Rhinolophus ferrumequinum: one gene and its partners. The protein of the gene in region 2 purifies or fractionates together with the protein of the main gene of each other region. This does not show direct contact. Links are inferred from orthologs where the notes say so. Each region holds a gene or a part of one and is shown on either strand. Other genes may lie near its edges.

Evidence for each region.
Region 1: the proteins of DCP1A (region 2) and UPF1 purify together in Homo sapiens (co-immunoprecipitation; 4 studies listed by BioGRID and IntAct, with this or other methods). This does not show direct contact. The link is inferred for Rhinolophus ferrumequinum from reciprocal best matches to the Homo sapiens genes DCP1A and UPF1.
Region 3: the proteins of DCP1A (region 2) and BAG4 purify together in Homo sapiens (affinity purification with mass spectrometry; 4 studies listed by BioGRID and IntAct, counting the BioPlex papers as one, with this or other methods). This does not show direct contact. The link is inferred for Rhinolophus ferrumequinum from reciprocal best matches to the Homo sapiens genes DCP1A and BAG4.

The regions. Positions count from the first base shown.
Region 1 is NC_046301.1:51,445,432-51,453,724, reverse strand, and holds the start of UPF1 (regulator of nonsense transcripts 1), read right to left. Parts: upstream 3,117-8,293; 5' UTR 2,998-3,116; coding exon 2,767-2,997; intron 1-2,766. UniProt on the Homo sapiens protein: RNA-dependent helicase required for nonsense-mediated decay (NMD) of aberrant mRNAs containing premature stop codons and modulates the expression level of normal mRNAs.
Region 2 is NC_046300.1:48,756,086-48,763,756, forward strand, and holds the start of DCP1A (mRNA-decapping enzyme 1A), read right to left. Parts: upstream 3,118-7,671; 5' UTR 3,038-3,117; coding exon 2,903-3,037; intron 1-2,902. UniProt on the Homo sapiens protein: Necessary for the degradation of mRNAs, both in normal mRNA turnover and in nonsense-mediated mRNA decay. Removes the 7-methyl guanine cap structure from mRNA molecules, yielding a 5'-phosphorylated mRNA fragment and 7m-GDP.
Region 3 is NC_046287.1:61,425,403-61,433,245, reverse strand, and holds the start of BAG4 (BAG family molecular chaperone regulator 4), read left to right. Parts: upstream 1-4,727; 5' UTR 4,728-4,781; coding exon 4,782-5,051; intron 5,052-7,843. Other genes in the region: U6 snRNA-associated Sm-like protein LSm1, read right to left, coding at 755-823, 4,193-4,238. UniProt on the Homo sapiens protein: Inhibits the chaperone activity of HSP70/HSC70 by promoting substrate release. Prevents constitutive TNFRSF1A signaling. Negative regulator of PRKN translocation to damaged mitochondria.

The sequences.
Region 1 (8,293 bases), on a different chromosome or scaffold from region 2:
GAAAGAAGCCAGACACAAAAGGCCACATATTGTATGATTCCATTTGTAGGAAATGTTCAGAGTATGTAAATCCAGAGATAAATAAAATTAGTGGTCGCCTGGGGTTGGCGGAGGGAGGACTGTTAGGCTAAGGGGTCTAGGGTTTCTGTTTAGGGTGAAGAAAATGTCTTAAAATTGATTATGGTGGTGTTTGCACAACTCTTTCAGTACTAAAAGCCACTGAATTGTATACTTTAAATGGGTAAATTGTATGGTATGTAAATTCTCTTTCAATAAAACTGTGAAACAAAAGCAGCTGCAACAGCACTTGACACTTTACAACCACTAATCCAGTAAGATTCAATCAAAAGGCATTTAGAATGGGAGGTTTCTGAGTCTCTCTGGCAACCCCGTCACACAGTTCATTCCGCAGCCAACTCCTGAGGACAAACACGGAAAAGCTCCCCAAATGCTGTGACCAGCAAACGCTGTAGGGAGCAAATGCCACCACCTGGCACAGAAGATAATCAATTTTTTTCCACTTTCCAATTCTATTCAGACTTTCCTGCCCCCAAATTCAGGGCCTCCTCTTGTGACACAAACATCACTCCCCTTCCCCAAATATAAATCAAAAATTAGGCTACAGGTATAGGTGGGTGGCTCATCAGGGTAACTAAAAGTAAGGAAGAACAGGCCCTTTTGATGTCATCAGAACTCAAGTGAGCTCCACTGTACTGTTTACCTCCAGTGGGGAGTATTAATGCTTTTATATTGTACAGCTCAGTGTTCAGGTGCAGGAAAATAAATCGATTACTTCAACTGAAAGAGGACACGCCGCAATTAATCACAAATATGAGGAACAAAACTAGAACCCCAGCTGACCCATGTTTGCTGTGTTGTATTGGCTACAGTTAAAAAAAAGATTTGCAAAAAACCAATTACTATTCACAACCCTGCGCTGCCACAGATCGTGGTCACTGCTTGACCAAGAGATCTTTATCCTGGACCTTCTAGACACACTGGGCACAAGTTACAGACAGCACTATCTAGCCCATATGAATGAGTCCAGAGATCATGCATGTTTAAAAGTAACAAAAGTAAAACTGCTATGCCCCCATTTTACAGCTGTGGCAACAGAGAGGTCTACAGAGTCAGACTACAGAAGTGATCACACACCTCCAGGGGCTCTTTCTTCTCTCCAGGCAGACTCTCCCTCTCTCCTCCCTCCCTCCACCACACATAAACAAAACTGAAAAATATACACACTTGCACACCTGTTCTCTCTGATGCCCCACCGATCAGACTTCTATTTTTAAGGAATCTGGGGTTAGAATGAGTCAAATGTTTTTCGCTTCTATTAGGGGCTAAAAGAAATGCCAAGTGGGTGGTCTACCCACGGGAGTGACTCAACCAACGACTCCCAACTAGCACATAACCCTCATCCCCCAGAACAGGGTCTGAGCTCACTCTGGCTGAGGATGGGGTGGTCGCCCCAGCCCAGGCACTGGGACCTCATGCCTTGACACCTGTGATAAGGTGAGCCTTGTAGCTCCTCCCTGGCTGTGAATTCAGGAAAATAAACCTAAGGGACGTGCCAGGCACAGGGAAACCTGGGGAATGGAATCTGAGATCCAGAGGATGATGGAGACATTCCCTGGGACCCTAGTCCAAGACCCTACCACTGGGAGAAAGGAGTCCCTTTCTCCCACTGGGGAGCAGGCATCCAGTTCCAGGAAGTGTACGCCTGATACTTCTCATCCCCCAAATTCAAATTTAAAATACCTAAGTCGCTTTCACTAAACATTCACATCATTAAAAACAAAAGTTTCTGATGTGGCAGATCCATTTATGTAAAACCCACTATCACTGCCCACTGGAGGAACAAACTCAAACCCAACTTTTCCAAGGCAGAGCTGTGGAGTTACGTAACAGGTCGGTTTCAGCAACAGGCAATGCAAGAAGGAAAAACAAAACGCAACCTGCCTCTTGAATAATCGCAAAAGCCAGCGAATGTGGGGTTCTCTCCACCGGAGGCAAAAATTCCATTTGTGCTCCTGGAGCCTGCAGCCTCCGCTCTCCAGTCCCTGGGCCTGAGGAAATTTGACCCTAAGGCTCCGTGGCTGTGAGAAGGGGGGTGTCCAGATGACTGCGACCACAGGTGGGGGGTGTGAGGCACGGTTCCCATTCCGCCAGAGTGGGGACCCGGGCAGATCCTCTGAGATCCAGGCAGAGGGCAACTTGGGGACAAGTCACCCATGACCTGGCAGAGAAGTACGTAGGGCAGGTCACCTCGTACATGCTCGGAAGGAAACCTATGGGAAGTCACCTAAGACCTGGCCTGAGCTAGATCCGGGACAGTTCTTAGGCTTAGGGGGACTCAAGGCAGATCCCCGAGACGCAACCAGAGTGGGACCCGGAGCAGGTCTGCCCTGCGCCCAGGCGGTGTGTGGGACCGGGACTCGTTACTCTGAACCTAGCCAGAGTCGGGGTCCTGAGAGATTACTCCGCACTCGACCTGAACGGGAAACATGGGACCGGTCAGACCAGGCTTAGCCAGAGTGAAGGACCTGGGACAGGTTACCCCGGATCCAGCCGGAGTAGGGGATCCGGGGCAGGTCAGCCCAGGACCGGCCGGAGTCGGGGACCCGGGGCACATTGTTCTGGGCCCAGATGGAGTGGAGAACGAGGGAACAGGTTATCCCGGGCCCGGCCGGAGTGGGGGAGCCGGGGCAGGTCCCCGGGCGCCGAGGCCCGGCCGGGCTTCCGGCGCCGCCATGTGCCGCTCACCTGAGCGTCGAGCTGTCCGCCCGCAGCGCCAGGTCCCGCGCCGACCGGGCCCCCCGAGCCGCCACCTCCGGGACCGCCGGGGCCGCCGGGGGGCGTCTGCGTCTGGCTGGGAAGAGTGAAGTCGGTGAACTCGAACTCGGAGCCCTGCGTGTCAGCGCCGAGCAGCTCGGCCTCCTCGGTGTCCAGGAAGGTGAGCGTCTGCGAGCTGGGGCCGTACGCCTCCACACTCATGGTGCTGCCGCTCAGGGCCCGCTGGCCGGCTCCGCGCCGCAATCGAGCCCGCAGCCGCGCTGAGGCCTAGGCCGCAGGCCTCGGGCCGCCGCCGCCGCCGCGCCCGCGCCCCTGAACCGGACCGAAACGCCCGCCGCGGCACGAGCCGAGCCGAGAGCCGCGCGCCGAGCCGCCGCCGCTGCCTCGGAGCCCCTCGGCACCACAGCTCCTCTCAGAGCCGCCCGCCGCTCGCAACCCCCGGCAGGAACCGCCGCCGCTGCCGCCACCTCCGTGCGCGTGCGCGAGCCCGACGCCGGCGCAGGTGCGCGTGCGCGAGCCCGACGTCGGCGCAGGCGCGCGCTCTTCTCCAACCGCGCCCGGACGCCCAGAGTCGAGTGGGCCGACGGGACGCGCAGTGCGCACGCGCGGGGCGGAGGCGGGGCTATCAACTGCTGTCGCGGCGGCTGCCGGAGCACGTAGTCCCGCCCCAACTGCTGTAGAGGGGTGCTCGCGCGACGGTTGGTGCTGCTGCGATGGTCCACGCTTCTATTGAGCCCTAACTGAATGCCCTACGCAGATGGAGCTGGGGAAGTACACCACCATCTCCTGGAGACGCCCCCTGGTCCTCAGTCTTCCCATCTGTAAAACGGGGGTGTCTGCACACTTAATAGGTGCTCAGTGTGCAGTGGTTCAATAAACGAGTGGGGACAGCCCTGCAGGGATCCTGTTGCTCGCAGAAATGGTGTTTGCTGCTGCCTCAAACAATAATATTCAGAGGCAGTATATAGCAAAGCAATTGGGACCACAATCCAGACCTGACTACCTACCAGCTGTGTGACCTTGTACTAGTGATTTCACCTCTCTGAGCCTTGAGTTTCATGGGAAAGGGAATTAATAACCATTAAGATGAAGAATAAATGAAATACCAGTCACCCCCTTAATATTTATAAAGTTTCACGTGCATGGGGTTGGCTTTATTCATTATAAGGTCTTTTCTATGCGGAGAATAATGCCCCCACACAGTAGGTGCTCAGTAAAAGGTTGTCCAAATTCAGCCGCTGGTTTATGAGCCTAAATCTCCTTAAATTCCGAGCCTCAGGATCCTTTTTTGCAAAATGTTTTGAAGAACCCTCCACTTCCCTTTCTGTCCCAAAATTCTGGGGCCCTCTAAATACTTGAAGTCATCTCACACGGCTCCTGGTTTATTACTGATACTTTATGGTTCCACATTTTCCAGTATTCCTGTCACAACGTGATAAGAGCTTCCTTTTTCCTTCTTCACATCTTCTCTGGCCTCCTGTGCACTGAAATGTGAGGGTATAGAAAATGAATAATTAGATCTCCCCTCCTCCAGGAAGACAGTTTAAGGGGAAATCGGAACAAGCCAACAGATGGTTTCAATAAAATTCAAAGCCTATCCAATCAGCTCAGGTGCCTCAGGAGGGAGCCCAGCCCCAGAATGCAGTCGGGACCAGCTGACCCCCAGGTCCCAATGACATGGTAGCCAGGATTCCAGATGTGTTCCTTAGCCCTCCTTTCCCTGTCACCCCAAGACCTTCCACTCCCTTCCTCTGATAGAGCCCTCTTCATAGCCAGCATTAATCATAATTGTGATTAAATTATTGTCAGTGCGATTATTTGTCTAATGGACACCACTTTTTTGTAGAGGATACAGGCTGTTGAGTGCCCTGCCCAGAACTTTTTTACTGGTTGGCGCACCCCCATGCCAGCTGCTGCAAGTATTGACTGCTAAAGGCTCACAACCACCCCTTGTGAATTGTCCGGGAGCAAACTGTCTCACCAGGGAGGTCATGCCCCCTCTAAAACATATACACCCTAGGAAAGCCCATGCCAAGGACTGAATGGTATGCGGCACAAGAGGCTGAATCCCTCGCAACTAAATGGGACCAGTCTAATGTCATCAGGCTCCAGGGTTCCCCCCTCACCCGGATCAGACTGAGGCTTGATTCCAGCTGAGCCCACTTCCTTAACTTGTCCTGCGTCCTTCACTCCCTCACACATTTCCCCCAAACTCACACCCCTGAATCTCCATCTCAGGCTCTGCTTCTAGAGAACCGATCCAATCCAAGGCAGAAACCAGCTCTCTGAAGGGCAGTAACTGTGTCAGTCTTGTTTGCTGTTCTATACCCAAGGCCTCGTGCAATAGTGAGCACACAATAGGTTCTAAATAAATGTTTTAGGGGACAACTCTTGAGCCCTTGTCACTGCTTGGGTAGAACAACGAAGTGTCCTATTACCCATGTTTAATGAAGGGATGACTAAAAGAATTGTCACATTTAGTCAAAATCTTCGCTTCTCAGTCATCTCTGGCACATTTCTCCCACGATCCTTCCCAGAGATGGCTACCATGAAAAATACTGACACTGTCACACGCTGGTGAGGACAGGGATGAACCAGAACTCTTGTCCAGGCTGCTGGACAGACAAACTGGTGTAGCCGCTTAGAAAGGCAATTTGACCATTTCTTTAAAAGTTAACCGTGGACCCACCATGGGAGCCAGCTTTTCCCATCCTCTGTATTTGCCGGAGAGAAATGAAAGCAGACCTTGTACACAAAGGCTCACAGGAGCTTTATTTGCAATCATCACAAACTGAAAACAACTAGAAAGTCCATCATCAGGAGAATGTATGAACACACAAGATACTTCTCATCAATGAAAAGGTGTGCACTACTGACACTCTCAACAACACGGCTGTACCTCCAAGGCGTAATGCTGAGTGAAAGAAGCCAGACCCAAAAAGCTACATACTGCAAGATTCCATTTATAGGCTATTCTAGAAAGTGCAAACTAACTAATGTAAATGGACAGAAAACAGATCAGAGATTGCCTGGGGAGGGATAGGAGGTAGGCAGGAGGGAACATTTGGGGTGCTTGCTGTATTCACTGTCTTGATCAAGGTGATGGTTTCACAGGTGTGGATGTATATCAAACACATCGAATTGTATACGTTAAACATATGCAGTATTTGGTATGTCAATTATAACTCCATAACGCTGTTTAAAAAAGTAGTGTCCATGACAGTTAGTAGTCTATGAAAAATGTGTGTGTGAGAGAAAACTATAACAAAGGCATTCAAAGCTGGGATGCAGAGATCCGTGTACACGTATGTACACAGCAGCACTAGTAACAATAGCCAAAAGGTAGGAACAACCCAAATGTCCACTGGCTGATGAAGGATAAACAAAATGTGGTCTGTCCATTCAGTAGTATGTTATTCAGTCACAAAAAGGAACGAAGCACTGACACACGCTACAACATGGACGAACCTCCAAAACATCCTGCAGAATGAAAGAAGCCAGACACTAAAAACCTCAGAGTGAATGATTCCATATAAAATATCCAGAATAGGCAAACCCATAGCAACAGAAAGCAGATTAGATGTTAGCCGGGGCTGGGGGTGGGGGGGCGGGAGCTGGAGATGGGGGCTTATCGCTTAGTGGATACTGGGTTTCTATTTGGGGCAACGAGAAATTTTGGAAGTAGATAATGGTGATAGTTGCACAACATTTGGTGAATGTACTTAATGCTCCTGAATTTCATGGTTAAAATGGCAACTTTATATATTTTACCAAAGTAAAAGATTTTTAAAAATAAAATTCAATTAAAAAGAAAAATACATGTATGGCTATATTCTAAGCACATAGGATAGACAGTTGCTGAGTTTGGGTTAACCAGAGCAGGTCTGGATTCACATCCTCGCCCTGCCATTGGCTTGCTGTGTGACCTCTCTCAAATATCTTGGCCTCTCTGTGCTTCACCTGTGAAATGGGATTCCAGTGGCCCTAACACCCTACACATGTTATGTGAAGAACTTAAGGCAGTACCTGGCCACCAGCCATCAAACGCCAGCTCTTTGCGAATGCTTAGTCTTTTTTGCTTTGTCTGCATTTTAATAATTCATCATTGAAATTAAAAAAAAAGAAAAGACTAAAAACATTTCAGACCACACAAAGTCCTCTTGGGCCTTCAGCACAGGTGTGTGTTTCTCTCAGCCCAGGTAGATCTCAACCAGTCCTAGACCCATCCCACTCAGTGACTTAAGCCAACTTTAATTCACCCGCCAGCCCTAAATTCACAACTCTGCCCCACCTGCTGACCCAGCCCGTCCTCGAATTCCATGCCAGCCTCCAAGTCCGGGAAAATAGAATTCTTCTCTCGTACCAAGAGAGGTCCCTCAAGGGTAAGCAGCCGTGGCTGCCACAGGGAAATTCCACAACTTTGGGAAAAGGACATTTAGGATCCTGCAGCTGCTCCCCCAGTCCAGCCACTGGCCTCTTTGAAACCCTTTGTCGGGCTCCAGGCTCCCACAGATGTGGCCCTTGAAACCCCACCCTTGCTGAGAAGTGGCCAGCCCCACTGGACCATGGACTAGACCCCGTCTGAAGCTCCCCCAGGAACAGTGGGTGCTTGTGGGTTTCTGTGGGCCCCCCCCTCTGCAGCCCCATTCTTGCTTCAAAGGAGGCCCTTGTGGGACACGGATGTGTGGCCAAGGCCCCAGTGATGCTGGTGGGAAAAGAAAAATAAGTGTGTGTGTATATATTTTATAGTCTCCTCTGCTCTCTGAATGGTCTCTTTGAAGGTGATGATGGGTCACAGAAGGCCTTGGGTGGGGGGACAGCAGGCAGACACTTTGATTCTAATTCAACCACAGGTTGCTTTTTTGGGGGCACACTGGGGTGTCTGGAGAGGTGGGTTTTGGCCTGGCCTCAAAGCTCCAATTCCTACATCAACTCAAAGCTGCTATTGAGGGCAGCAGGGCCATCTAGCATCTCCCAGAGGAAGACGGCCCCTGGGGGCCCCCTTCATTCCCACACCAGGCTGCACGCTGGTATACATTTTGGGTGGAATTTCACTGTGGCTATTTTAGAAAGTGTTGGGGTGGGAAACTAACTAACACCTCCCGGTGGGCCTGACCCCGTGTCACTGTCCCCAATTCATAGATAGCTGTGTGGCCTCTTCTAGCAGGGAGATAGAAAATAAAATCATCAGAACTCAATAACTGGTGTAGTTGTGTTAGAAGGTAACAAAAGGATCAAAAGGAAAACGGACCGTGTCACACCCACTAGAATGGCCGTAATCCAAAACGGAAAATAACAATAACAAATGTCATGGCTGTAGAGAAATCGGACCCCTCGTGCACTGCCAGTGGGAATGTAAAATGATGCAGCTTGGAAAACAGTCTGACAGTTCCTCAAAAAGTTAAATATAGAGTGACCGTGTGACACAGAAATTCCACTTGTGGGTATATACCCTCAAAGAATTGAAAGCAGGGATTCAAAGAGATCCTCGCCCATG
Region 2 (7,671 bases):
AAATGTCGAACCATCATGCTGTAAACCTGAAACTAATATAATACTGAATGTCAACTGTAATTGAAAAAAATAAAAAGACCAGCTCAATGCTTTTTCAAAAACAAAACAAAACAGAAAAGATCAACTTATTTATTCTAAAATTAATCACTTTTGAACAGGTCAAGTAAGTCTCTCTCTCCACAACTACTGTTACCAGATTTTTTGGTATCCTTTCCATGCTATTGATGCATATTAACGTACATGCAATGTTTGATCCAGCAACATGCCTGTATCTGCAGCATTTTTCTTTTACAAATTTTAAAGGAGAAAAACCTAGAATTAGCTTTCACTTTTTAAAGCAAAAACGTTTTAGCCAGATTTTTAATTTTTTTAAAAATAAATTTTATTGGGGAATATTGGGGGACAGTGTGTTTCTCCAGGGTCCATCAGCTCCAAGTCGTTGCCCTTCAATCTAGTTGTGGAGGGCGCAGCTCAGCTCCAAGTCCGGTTGCTGTTTTCAATCTTTAATTGAACCGGCAACCTTGTTGTTGAGAGTGCGCACTCTAACCAACTGAGCCATCCAGCCGCCCCTCCGGAAGCTCAGCGGCAGCTCGTTTTCTTCAATCTAGTTGTGGAGGGTGCAGCTCACTGGCCCATGTGGGAATCAAACCCGCAACCCTGTTGTTCAGAGCTCACGCTCTAACCAACTGAGCCATAGGGCCTCCCAGATTTTTAAATTTTAAAGCAAGATCCTTGGTACAGCAATTTCTTCACTTGTAAAGTTTCTCAAATTTAGTAGGGGAAAAAAAGGAAATTTTATCTTATAGGATACTTTGTTTCATCATTGGGGGATTTGGGTATACTTTCATTGAGTATCAAATGTGGTTAGTTAAGAATTACTGTCAAACACAACTAGTTTGTTATTTTTAGAACTTTGTTGAAGCATCATGAATACTGAAACAATTCTCTGGCTTAATGTAATTATTGTAGGTTTTACAAACAATTAAAAAAATTTTTTTAGCTTAAAGTGAAATGTTTTGATTAAGAAAGTACAACTCACAACCTTCTTTAATTTGCTGTGACAAGAGTGTATTTAGGTCTTAAATATAGTGACAATATCTTAAAAAACAAAAACAAATAACCATATTAGTCTGCATTTCAGTCCAGATAGGGCCCAAATATTTTAATGTAATCAACAAATTGTTAGAAAACTTTATCAAATTGAATTTGTTGGGATAAAATTTTTTTTAAAAATTATTATCTTGATTTCTTCTAGGAGTATTGCCCTAGTTTATGTATCATCATGGAGCTTTTCCTTCCTAAGGATTCAGAGGCTTTTTCTTGACTTTCAATTTTGTTATTAGTATAAGAAATTGGTAATCAACTGTCTCACAGTGAAAGAAAACATGCCCAAACAAAACACTATGCAGTCACAACTCACTGTAAAATAACAAAGAGAGAAAAGATTTTAGTTATGCTCTATGTGCCATAATCCAAATGAACAAACAATGGCAGCTTATTTCTCAATTCAGGTTATTATGGCTTGTATTTCTATTTTTAAAGAACTCCACAATTAACATTCCAAAAAATTCAAAGTCTGTGAAAAATTAGAAAAGCTGGTTAGTAAATCAATCCTTGCCCAAGTCTTCAACATTTGTCTGCAATCCATATTTCACAAATTTATGTGTAGACCAAGAAAAGAAAAATTATTCAGAACAATTCAAATTAAGGCAATGTCTAAAACGGCTACACTTAAAAAAAGAAGAAATCTGTAATTTTGTTCTTTGTGGCTTCTCATACCTCTTCCAGATCAAGGAAAGAAGAATACAAAGCAAGATATTTTGACAACTGTTTTCATCTGAATTAAAAATGCCAAATGATTTTCACAAAGTTACTGTATAAATATAACATATCTGTATTATATTGTAAAGGACCATACTACGATGATCATCTTTCAGAGTTTTGTTAGCATAAGAATTTTGTTTCTTACTGAAATGTGAACATCAATAATTTATGAATTCAATCCATCAAATATTTACGATTATTTTCTAAGTGTAAATGTAAAGCCTATAACTGAATGAGTTCATTAAGGGTCAATTCTAGAAAACAGAAAATTGTAGTTTTAAACAACAAACGAAGCTTCAAATGGGTCAACAAATCAGTTCAGTGAACAGACTGTAACTTTTCGGATCCCCTCGCGTGCAAAAAAAAGCTTAAAAGTATTTAGTCTGATGTGAGATTTTGGAGGTGACATCACCAGCAGCATAGGTGGAACGAGACACATTTACAGGGTCTCTTTTCCAAAGGTTTCAAGGGAATCCAACTAATGTGAGAGCCCTTTTTCTAAGTGCCTTGAATTCTTTTCCAAAACTCTGGAAATACAGTGTAGTTCGATAAAAGACGGACTATCCCCACTTCCTCTTTTCCAAGAATTGAAACTAATTGGATTTCAAGCTTTAAATCCAAATACCTGTGCGAAAGGGGCTCTTATTTACGTGTTTGTGGGGGGGAGGGAGGAATGTTTACTTTATAGATTATGTATATGTAATTTAATTAATGCCCCTCAAACCCTCCATCTTTCAGGCATCTTTCTGACCCCACCGGTCTCATATCCTCTAACACATCTGCGAAGAAGGCAGGTCGCCCACATCCCCGAACCCGACCCTAAGGGGAGACTGACCCTCCTCCAATCCTCCCCTCTATCGGCTTTTCCCCCGGATGTTTTGGGCCCTACTTCTCTTGCACCTCTCTCCCAATCCCGGGCCCCCAACATCCTTCAGGCGCCGGCCAGGCTCTCCTCCAGCCCCTGGAGGCGTCTATGCCGCCTTGGCCTCCAGCATCGCCCCCAGCCCAGGGTGGTCCGCGCGGCCCCTTTAAGAGGCGGCAGCCCGGCGGGCGACCTCAGTGTCCTAGCGGCACTCACCCACTGGTTGGCCTTGGGGCAGAAGGTGTATAGAGCGACCTGACCAGTAAGGTCTGCGATGCTGGTGATGTAGGGGTCGTGCTGCTTCAGGGCCGCTAAGCTCATCTCCTGCCCAGCTCGACTCAACGACTCCATCTTGATTTCCGGAGCCGAGCCCCTCCGAGGGGGCGGAGTCGCGGACAGGAAGGTGCCTTCGAGGCAAAATTCCCCCAGTGCGTCAGCGCCTGCAACTTCCGCCTCTCCGCTGGGCCTTGCAGCGGGGCGCTACGTTAGCTATTATGCTCCGCTGCGCTCATCCCCCGGGCACCAGGTTCCGGCGTCCTTGGGTCCTAGGTCCCCAGCCATCTGTCTCCGCGTACACCTAAATGCGGCTGAGCTGGCAGGCGGGTGTCCAGGCGCTTCCTTTCCGCGGACTAAACTGTCCCGAGGTCCGGAACAAGGTGCCCGCGAGTTTTCTCCGAGCTCCTGCCGGTTGAGGTTGGAGACTGACGCGGGCCTACTTCGGCTGGCTCACGGGAAGGGCCCGGGGCGGTAGAACGAAAACCTCGCCGTGGCAATGAAAGGCTCCCCGGGCCGTTTAGAAAGCACAGAGAAGCGGGGAGGTAGAGACCTCTCTTCGGGGAGAGACCCCGAAACTTACCCCAGATCTAAGAGCTCACTAGATCACTACCGTTAGCAATTTGGTATTTTTCTGAAAGAAAATTTTGGAAAAAGCCAAACGAATCCTCATGTAACTACACAGGAGTGTCTTGCTATCCATTTTTGTTCCTTATTTTCCACGTCTGAATCCCAGGTAAATCTTTACATCCTGTCTTGGGAAGAGCCTGGGAAGGCTTGAGTTTGTCGTGCATCATTTAAAGATTTTAAAAAATAGCTCATTCTTTTAGTAAACATTTCTTGGACATTTTAAGGCATTTTAAAGAGCTAGGTACTAGCTAGAGAAGAACAAGGTGTAGAGACTTGGAGGGAGCTCTGTGTCCCCCCCCCCCTTAAAAATTTTTTTAAATCGAAAAAATACTCCAATGGAATGTAATTTTTTGAAATGAAAAACCCCCATAACATAAGTATTGTTTATGATTTTACATCCCAGGACGATTTGTTAATGGAAAGAGGATTCATGTCTTACATTCTTTTCAGAATCACATAAGAAGCATGTACAAATGCAAACAAGGAAACAGGTATTATTCATTAAGCAAGTATTTAATGAACTCCTAACTACATATGAACTGGTAGGCCTTTGGGAGCCTCAAAGACGGCTTAAGACAACTACCTGGCTCTGGGAGAAACCCCAAGCAGTAGGACAATGCAAGGAAATTGGGACAGTGTTAGAGATGGTTCTCTTGAACCTAGAGGATGGAACCACCGACTCCATCTCCTCAAGAAAGTCTAGGAAGGCTTCATGGAGGAGGTAATGTTTGAATTAGTGCTTCAGGAGTTAGTAGCTCCTTCCATTTCACACTCCAATGGTGAGGTAGAGAAAGTGTGGTCCTCCTCGTTGGACAGATGATTTAATTGAAGCCTGGTGGAGAACTCACTGGCTTAAAGATCCACAGGAGTCGGGATCTGGTATAAGAATACTGGGACTCCTCCCTTTTACCCCACGGTCCTTTTCTCTACAGCCTGGCTGCCTTTCTTCCTCCTGAAGACACAGCTGTACACCTACTTTCAGACAAACATTTGAACAATCTGTACCCTAATTAAAAAAAAAAACCACATACAATGTAAGTACTTTTTGAATAGGTACAAAATTCAAAGGCGCACCTGAAACTGAATTTGATTTTTTCTTTCTAAAAATTATTATTTTTTTATTGAGGTATAATTGACGTATAACATATTAGTTTCAGGTGTACAATATAATGATTTGATATTTGTATATATTGCAAAACGATCACTGCAATAGTCCGGATAACATCGGTCACTATAATAGTTACAGTTTTTTTCCTTATGTTGAGAACTTTTAAGATCCACTCTCCTAGCTACATTCAAATATGCAATACAGTATTATTAACTATAGTCACCATACTGTACATTACATCCCTGACTTATTCATTAGTTATTTTTTTTTACATAGATTTCCTAAGATAATGTAAGACATCCTTTATTTATTATTTTTGATCGAGCAGGGCTAGACTAGTGAAGAACACCAAGATATTTTAGGGAGTTTTCATATTCAGAATAGAAAATCCCTTCAAAATGCACGTTTCTGTGCCCCAAAACATGTTAATGTCTTTAATGCCCTATATAGCTCATAAAATTTATTAAAGAGAATGTGATAATTTTGGAATTGAAAATCATCCTTTCTTACTGTGCGGTCTGATTTTGCCTTAAAATATTTGTCAATCAAACGTTAAGTCATTTCTATTTATTTATTTATTTATTTATTTATTTATTTATTTATTTATTTATTGGGGAACAGTATGTTTTTCCAGGACCATCAACTCCAAATCAAGTTGTTTTCAATTTAGTTGTGGAGGGCACAGCTCACTGGCCCATGTGGGAATCGAACCTGTGACCTTCGTGTTATGAGCACTGCGCTCTAACCAACTGAGCCACCTGGCCACCCCATTAAGTCATTTCTTGTGTCTTGCAGGTAATAGGCTCTGAGAGAGCAGAGATTCACCTTAGTCTATTAGGTCCCCAGTACCTGGCACAGCCCCTGGCAGAGTAGACTCAATAAGTGTTAGTGAATGAATGTCATCTTAAAATCCAACACCTTTAAGGCCATAGAAGAGACTAAAAAGAGGTGGGTGCCTGGGATCAGAGGTGGGAAGGAGTCTTAACTCTGCACTGGAAAACCTTTGGTCACTTTTGAGTTGTGTTTCATGTCAATTATTTTTTTTTAAAATACAAATAATTTAAAATATGAAAAGGTAAACTCCAATCATCCAAACCCCACGTCTCTCTGACTGGGTGGCTTTGTAAAAAAAGAAAAAACTTTCCATTTAAAATCATGGGGTCTAAGGTAGAACTGGCTAGAATCCTTGTCAGAAGGTCAGTGTTTTAGTTCCAAATCTGCCAGCTGTGTAACTTTGTCAGTTAGTCACAGACTTCCCATTTCTCCAGTGTAAAATCCAAAGTCCTTGTCATGGCCTGGGAGACATTCCTCTGTCCGGCCTCCTGCTGCCTTTCCATCTCCACTTTCCATGAATTGCCCTTTCAGTTATTCCACCCTAGTCTTCCTAGCCTCCAACCTCCTTGCTATTCCCATATATACCCCAAATGAGTCATGCCTCAGGGTCTTTGTACTTGTTATTCCCCTTTCTGGAACATTCCTCTCTCTGGTATCTCTGTGATATCCTGTCGTCCCTTTCCTCACTTTCTCATCAACATAAGAATGTCCAAACCTGTAGAGAATTTTTATAAGAATTTACTCAAGCCAAACTGACGACATGCTGGGAAGCAACATCTTAAATCTCTGGAGAATGACAGTTTTGCAGCTTCTTTTATACATTTAGAATTAAGGAGGGGATGGAAGGAAGCTTACAAGAAGGTGGGAGAAAGCAAGTTACAGAATACCATGTTTCCTCGAAAATAAGATCTAGCCGTACCATCAGCTCTAATGTGTCTTTTGGAGCAAAAATTAATATAAGACCCGGTCTTACTTATAATATAACATAATATAATATAATATAATATAATATAATATAATATAATACCAGGTCGTATATTAATTTTTGCTCCAAAAGATGTGTTAGAGCTGATGGTCTGGCTAGGTCTTATTTTTGGGGAAACACAGTAGCTAACAAAATTAAGTGCTTCCTTGAGGGGTCAGGAAAAGAAGATTACTTCTGGCATTTCAAAGGTGTGTTAACCTAGATGCACAAGAACAAGGGACAGGGCTGGCTTAAAAACTTTTTACTAAAGAAGTTGCAGGCCTGGGGCGTGACTTCGTACCCTGACCTACCCAGTTAGGAATTTATGATCAGATCACTCACGTTACTTTCGGTTAGATTTATTACCGCACCCCTTTTTCGTCCACATTCTTCATAACACTCATCGACAAGTTGTAATTTTTTAGTTTACTTACGTTTTGTCTGTCTTGTCAGTTCAATGAAGCAGGAACCACGTCTGTCTTGTTTACCATCACATTCTCAGTGCCTGGCCAGAGGCAAGATCTAATACGTATTTGTTGGATTAATTGGAATGTTAGGATGTTTTTTCTTTGTTGCATAAACCTGAGAGAAGGGATGGTTGTTTCAACTTCACATCTAACAAAGCATTTGTTTGTTATAAGTGCTAAACAAGTAATAATGCCTGATTTGCTTGTATTAATATATTTTGATTCTTAGGCTCTATGCCTCCTGAAGCAAATACAGTTTTAATATAGTCCAGAACAATCATTCAGCACATTTTCAGTCTTGTAAATTTCCCCATGTTTAGTTTTTCTCCATCTCCATCTCTCTTCTCTTCCTCTTTTCCCTCTCCCTCTCTGATTTTAAAGATCTGTTCAAAAAGTATCTGCTTATTACTGTTTGTCATTTTAGGCAGAGAAACCAAACTAGCTAATTTTCCCAAGGTCATATAATGATTCATTTGCTGAGTTGGGATTAGCATCTTCTAGCCTTGGCTTCCAGGTAGATCATGTATCTTGCTGCCATTCTGCCTGGCACACTCTTAAATTACACTGACCGCACGTGAGTGAAACTGGCTATCCTTGTGCTGCTGTCTCACTACTGATACTTATTTTACATGATTGACATCCAAAAGGTTGTGGACTTACCATAAAATTCATTACCTGGTCCTTAGCAGATGCTTAGGATGGTAGTTCT
Region 3 (7,843 bases), on a different chromosome or scaffold from region 2:
GATGAATTTGTTAAGATTTACAAATCCAATCTGTTAAGAATAATTATTTTTCTTCTTTCAATTGGTACCATTTGTCTTACTTGAAAAAAAGCAGATTATCTATGCGCTTATCTTCTATAACTCTTACAGGTGTTTCAATTGTTGTTTTTCCTCCTGCCTAAATCCACTGACCTAACAGATGTTTACCACATGGTGAGATGAACTAGAAGTTTCTTGAAACAGAAGCAACTATAGATGTCTTCAGAAAAATGCAGGAGCAAAACAAAAGACCAAGACTCTTGAGTCTGACGTATTCCTAAGTGTAAAATCTTGAGCTTAATGTTGGAGTCCCTAAAAAGCTTCGGGAAATGCCTTCTATCCAATTTTCTTTGGACGGGGTGGGGTTACATTCAGTGCAGGAACTGCTCTGCAGAGTAGTTGCACCTGAGCCAACGTACAAATGAGCAGCTTTTTCATTGGACTGAGTTTATTTCTATCATTTGGTCCCTCTCATTGGGAAATTAAAAAAATAGTCCAAAACATTGTATGTTTTCATGAGAACCAGTTTTAGAATTACAAACTTGTAAGTGCAAGCTTTTAAACAATCTAATCATAATTTAGGAAACAATGATGTAATGACTCAAAACAGTATTCCATTATGCCAGACACGTGAAAAAGTTGGCGATAAATAAATTTCAATATGAAATAACACAAAAAATACAATGGGCAACTCGTATTATCTAGAGTATAGGAGAAGTCCACAACTAATACATACCAAACTGATCAATGCTTCTCAAAAAGCCTATAAGCGTCCTTCCATCTCGAAGAAGGACCAAGTGCTTTTCTGGGAAAAGGAAAAAAGATCTTTAAAAATGAAAACTGTTAGCATCAGTGAGTTTACAGGGTAACAACAAAAATAAAGTTAACAGCAGTTTACTTCTACCACTTCCTCTTCCCATGTATTTAAGGTGGAGTTTATTGGGAAATTAGAGGGAGGACCAAGGCAGCCTAGGTTACAAGATTAGTGGTGAAAAAAATCATAGTGTGGCAAAGTAGAAAAAGGACTGGCTGAGTAGTCAGGAAGCCTGACTGGCTCTAGACGTTGATGTTTGACAGTTACACCTCCTCAGTGTCATGTCAAGTTTCTGTATCTGCAAATTGAGAAATTTAGTCTGGATGATCTTTATGATCTTAATTCTAGAATTGTTTCCCTTCAACTTAGAAGAGCTTCTATTTCACACTTTGGAGTCAGGGAAGATTTTAAATTAAAAACAATACCTCAGACATGTAAAATGAGGATGCTGATAATAAGCTAGAGCAAAAATTCAATAATATTTATTGAAAGCTACGTGCTGTTCTGGAGCCTCTATATACAGTACTGAATAAAACTCAGAGATTCACCAACCTTATGAACTTATATTCCTGGTGGAGGAAGGCAAACAAATAAAAAAATGACCTATGGTGATCACTACTATGGAATAATAAGTAAGATAGCAGGATAGTAGGATGAAAAGAAAGTAGCTACAGAAGAGAGGGTGGCTAGGGAAAACCTCTCTGAAGAGGTGACTTGGAGCTGACTCTGAAAAATGACAATAAGCCAGTCACTAGAATAACTAGCAAAGATCATTCATTTGTTTCTTTAAGACCACACATAAAGTACTTCATAGATGTAGAACAGAGGAACAGGGTGCTTCTTCCCGGAAGGAATTTATAATTTTCCTTGGGCTATAATTAAGTACCATAAGAGAGCACATCTTAATTATATGAGACTGAGAGAAATTCGAGCTGGAGGCTGTATCTGAGTTGGTTCTTGAAAGTTAGATAATTTTTGTTCATGGGAAGAGTGACAGCGAAGGGGATGGTTTGGGAAATCTGTAATTTAGATAGGAGGAAAAAAAGGGCTATGTATCCATATGTTTGGAGAAGAGTTGACGGCATGGAGAGAAATAACAGGAACGAAGTCAGAAAAAAGAACTGGGAGCAGGTTGAGTCTGGGTTTGATTTTATAGGGAACAAGAAAACACATTGAAGACTGAACTGGCAGAAAAGGGAGAGCAGCTGAGGCTATTTCCAGTGTCTGGAACATGAAGAGACCTGAACCAAGGTAGGGATGAGAAGGGCAAGGATGGAAGTACTAAAACTGTGCAGTTTAAAGTAATGGGATTTGTCAACTAATTGAGTTTGTATATGCGGGTAGGTGTGAGAGAGTGTGGTGCTAAAGAAATAAGTTAAGCAGCGGTAGGCATTTTGCGTCATCATCAGGGAGGACCACTTACCAAAAGTCTGGAGTAAACAAAGCAAGCTCAGGGTGGAAGATTATTAGCTGTTTGTAATTCTGAAGTGCTATCAGGACACTTAGGTAGAAATGTCAACAGATAATTGGAAATGTAAGACTGCCAAAGAGGTCTGAATTAGAGCAATTTCGGATTGCTCTAATCCACAAAGAGGTGATATAATTATTAAAGTCCAGGAGATCTCCTAGAGATTTAAAGAAAGAAGCAGGTCAAACATGGAACCTAAGAGACCATCTATTTTAGGGAACAGTAAGAGGTAGAGAGGTAAGAAAATCAACAACTACTAGTATTGAAGAAATCCAGAGTACAGAATTAAGAATCCAGTGGTAATAGTTGCAGTGCTGCAGAGGGGAGGGGAAGACTCAGAAAAGTGCCCTAGACTGATGCCTTTTAAGAATGCAGCTTCACTAGTGTGTGGACAACAAAAATCAAATTGCAGGTGGTCAGGACGAGTCAAAATGGAGATGACTCAAAAGGTTTGGGGGTAAAGATATGAAAAAAGGGATGGGAGTTTGAGGAGACACAACTGAAAAAAAAAATTGAGATGGACAAAAACATGTGAAAGGAAGGATCCAGGAGGAGAGAGAAAGATACAAGGTGTGAGAGAAAAAGGATATTAATGGCAGAAGGTTCCAGAAACAGTGAGAGGAAAGAGTAATAAAAGACAAACTGAAAGGAAGGAATACTTCCTACTCAATGAGAGGACGGGTGAAAATACAGAAAGACTAAGGAGAGAGGAGGCAAGTGTGTGGGAGGTGCAGTGAAGAGTACATATGAAATGGTTTCGAACATTTCAGTAAAGGAGGGGGCCTGGAATCTACAAACAAGAGGTTAGAAGGCTTAAGAACAAAACTTATTTTTAATAGAACGACAGGATGTGTTAGGGCCTCAAATAATTCAGATACATAAAAAGAGAGGTGAGGGCAAAATGGCATCCTCAGACAACTTAAGATTTCATCACACATTAGAGATAGGCTTGTACAGTGGTTAGTTACATGTACGAATTTGGTCCAATTTACACTGTATTTCCCTTCAATAGCAAAATCACTAATTTGGATTTAAAAAATGATCTCAGACAATAAAAAGTTTAATTACACACTCACTCTAATCTGTATATATAGTAACTGTAGAGATTGTTGTAACTTGTTTGGAACTGTGTGTAAACCATTTTGCAGCAATTACAAGTTAATGAGACAGGATCACACAAAACATTTACAAAAATGTTGCTTGAGGAATAATTCACAGATGACAGTTTAGCAAAAGGACAGACTATATATATATGTATATGTATATATATATATATATATATCCTCTTTCATACAGGACTGAATTCCTCTTCAGGATAATGATTAAGAATAAGGGAGGTCTTCTTAAGTAAAAGCAAAAGAAAATTGTTGAACAGAAAAAAAAGAAGTGAATCAACTCTGCCTTTCCAGAAAAGTCAATACCTTGTCTGGCAGTGGTCTCTGCTACCATAATTTGAAAGTACTAAAGACCCTTACGGTAAAAGAATATTGCAAATGACTACACAGCATAAAGCCTATGTTTACTGCCAATAAGTCCAAATGCTATTAATATTCTCATTTCTTGATGAATGCTTTAAGCATTCTCATTCATCCACCAGTAACAACCTGGTACTTCAGCAGCGTCCCTGGGAAGCAGGACTGAATGGTACAGCTTGTGGTTGACCAGCCGGTGCAGGCTGCGTGGGGCAGGACGGAGGTAATAGAGGTCGTAGGCTAGGAGGTAGGCAAAGGGTGTGTCCCGTGGCTCCTCCATCCCGTGGAGCATGTCAACACCAAACACCCAGAACTGTGCTCAAATCACACCGCCCCCCGCCCCAGACTCGTTCTACGAGCTTCCTCGAAAGAGGCACCCTTCGGGGAGGAAGGGTCTCACCCCAAACTGATTTAACTCACTGTCGATGTCCTCGATGAGGCTGGCGGTGCCTGGCATATAGTTCATTTTGAACTGAGATAAGACTGCAGTGTATAGCTGCGGTGGGCCAGCGTGTGCAACACCTCCCTCCTCCTACCGGAGTCGCCGCCTCGTCGGAACCGGGACAGTAACCCGGACCGGGACCAGCGCGTCCGCCCCGGCTTTCAGCCGCAGGGGCCTGCCGGAAACTCCTCCATAATATCCCTACCTACTTCCGGTACCACGTGCCCATCGTCTGGAAGAGGCGGGACCGTCGTGCGGTCCGGGGACACACTTTCCCCATCTGAGGAGAGGGAAAGAGGAATCTACATGGCATAGGTGATGGGAAAACGTAGTCTCCCTTTCAAGGAACACGGTGCAGCCCCTCGTTTTCCTGCTTCCCAGACCCCCAGAGTCACGGACCTTCGTCCATCAACTCCCAGGCGTCCGCCGCTGAAGGGGCGGTACCAGGCCTGGGATTGGCTGTTGTCGGCCGACCCCCTTCATTGTTGTCCATTCCCTGTCGCTGGCAGGGGCCTGCGCAATGAGCCGGCCGTGGGGGGCGGGAAGCGCTTCGGGGCAGCGGTGCCCATGTCGGCCTTAAGGCGCTCGGGCTACGGCCCCAGTGACGGTCCGTCTTATGGCCGCTACTATGGGCCTGGGGGTGGAGATATGCCGGTGCATCCACCTCCACCCTTATATCCTCCTCGCTCTGAACCTCCTCAGCCTCCCATTTCCTGGCGGGTGCGCGGGGGCGGCCCTGCTGAGACCTCTTGGCCAGGAGAAGGCGGAGGAGGCGATGGCTACTATCCCTCTGGAGGTCCCTGGACGGAGCCGGGTCGAGCTGGAGGAAACCACCAGGTAAGCTTTGCGCCATCTGTCCTAGGAGGTTCTGGGAGGGGGTTCTTTGGGAGTGAGGTCCATTGGGATTAGTATACCCCCTGAGTTCGTATCGGATCGGGTTTCATATTTGTTTTCCTTATTGGGGGGTTTGTAGAAATAAGACTGGGCTCGTGGGTGGGGAGATATGCTTGTGTTCTGTTTGCCCCTCCTTTTCTGCTTCGACCATAATAAATGTCTATTACCATTAAAAAAGGAAAAAAGATCCTGCGCTGACTTGCTAAGCTAGGTAGAGGATGCGGAATGTCGCCTGGGAACGATGTTGGGCTGAAGTGACCCGGCTCTGCTTTTTGAGCTCTAGCAATTTATCCTGCGTGGCTCGTCAGGCCTGCTCTCCCCCCGAGAAGGGAGGTGGCTGCAGCCCCCGCCGTCATTCAGCAACCTCTTCCGCGGGGAAGGAATTTAGGAAGGAGGTGGGGGGAATGTGGGCATTTATTTAGCCCTTTGTCCCTAATGCTTTGCCTGGGATTGACTCAACGAATAATCAGCGTTGGGAAGTATTTTTACGTGGATTGTTTTATTTAATCTTCACGGCGACTGCAACATAAATGTCATTTATGTTGATCCTAATAGTGACCCTATTAAAGAACTGTTGGCTCTGAGAGGTTAACTCAACCTGCTCAATATAGTCGGACCTATAACATTTCTTATATTCTTGCCAGAAACGTACAGTACTTCTGTTTTGTTAATGCAGTATTTTTCGTAGAGAATTATTACACAATGTGTGTGGGGGGGTCACATCTCTCTTTCAGAAATTATAACACCCTCATTGTTTGAAAATGTAGTAGTGAAATTCCCATACATTGCTGGTGGGAATGTAACATGGTTCAGTGCTTTGTAAAGTAGTTTGGCAGTTCCTCAAAATATTAAGCACAGAGTTAGCATATTACTCAGCAAGTCTGCTCATGGATATACCTGGGGGGGGGTGCCCAAAAAAGATTTATACACATTTTAGGATATGTTATCTGTGCTCAAGCAGTAGTTCGTGGTAATCAGAAGTGTCTGGACGCTGATGGTAACCATTTTGAACACCTCTTGTAATTGCAGAAGTCAAACGTGACTTGTTTCATCTTTTGTTATCCGTATATGTTGAGTATTACAATTAATACAGTTTTTCCCTTTTAAAATGTGTATACATTTTTTTGGCACGCTCTGTATATGCAAGAGAATTGGAAACATATGTGTATTAAAAACTTGTATATGCATTTTCACAGCAATGTTATTCATAATGGCCAAAAAGTGGAAATAACCCAAATGTCCATCAACTGATGAATAGGTAAAATATGGAATGTTCGTACAATGAAATTATGTAGCCATAGAAAGGAGTGAAGTACTGTACATACATTCTACAACATGGACGAACCTAGAAAACATCATACTACGTGAACAAAGCCAGTCAGATAGACCACATATTGTATGATTTCATTTATATAAAATGTCCAGAATAAGCAAATCTGTAGAGTCAAACATTAGTGCTTGCCAGGGTTTTGGGGACTGGGGACATTGGGAGTGATAGATAAAAAGTAAGGGGTTTCTTTTTGGGATGATGAAAATATTCTGAAATTAGATAGTGACGATGATTATACAACTTTGAAGATGCTAAAAACCATTGACTTGTACACTTAAAAGGGTAGGTTTTATGGTATGTTAGTTGCATCTTTAAAAAGTTGTATGAGAAAAAAGCATGTAGTAGTGAGAGGTTAATTATGAAGAGAGTTCCATATTTTCTGTCTAAATCTAGAATAATTAGCCTGTGGGACTTGAATCCCTTGGTAGAGTAGAGTGATGAACTGTTTGGTCTATAAGTAGGCAAATTAGACCAAAGACCAAGGGAGAGGAGAGGACCACTGATGACTTCTACTTGGGCTTGCAGTATTATCAAAACAAAAGTGTGTTTTAGGGGTGAGGTTAGAGAAGTTAAGATGTTAGTATTGTGTAGATGTAAGGTATGGATGGAGCATAGCGTGTACATAGGCTGGGTGATGGTGCTGCAGTAGTTGGAGATAAAGCTGGGATGTGTACTGGACGTTCATAAACCATTTCAAGAGTTTATCTTCAGATTGATGTTTCTGAAACTTGAAAAGTATAGGATTATAATCTATGCAGCAATAGAAAATTAATACAAAAGATTTGCATGTTGCAAATGTTTTTTTTTCCAAATTTGTTTGTTTTTTAACTTTATTGTGGTTGTGATATATAAGTTTTACATTTTTTACATAATCAAATATGTCAAACAAACAAAAGGTATAGGAGCCTTTTAAAACCGTACTACTCAAAAAGTGTGGTCCTTTGACCAGAAGCTTCAGTGTTGCTTGGAGGTTGTTAGAAATGCAGACTTTCCTGCTCCAGACTTGCTGCTGCATTTTAATAAAAGCCCCAGGTGATTTGTATGCATGTTCACATTTGAGAAGCACAGCTCTATAGAATTGGATATATTGAGATAATGTTGCAGTGAACCACTACAAAAACTTGACTCTCTACATTTAAATATGGCAGGAGAAAAAACCCAGAAATCTACCTTTCCCTGTTTTCTTTCTTTTCTTACTTGGTTAGCTGTACTTGGCAGCATTGTAGTTTGATCCCTGAACTAGCAGCATCTGCATTACTTAGGAGCTTGTTGGAAATGCTGTATCTCAGGCCCTGCCCCAGACTTACCGAATCAGAATGTGCATTTCACCAAGATCTGTAGATGATTTTCATGTTCTCCCAGAATGAGAGAGGAGAGAGAGAGAGCGAGAGAGAGATCTGACATG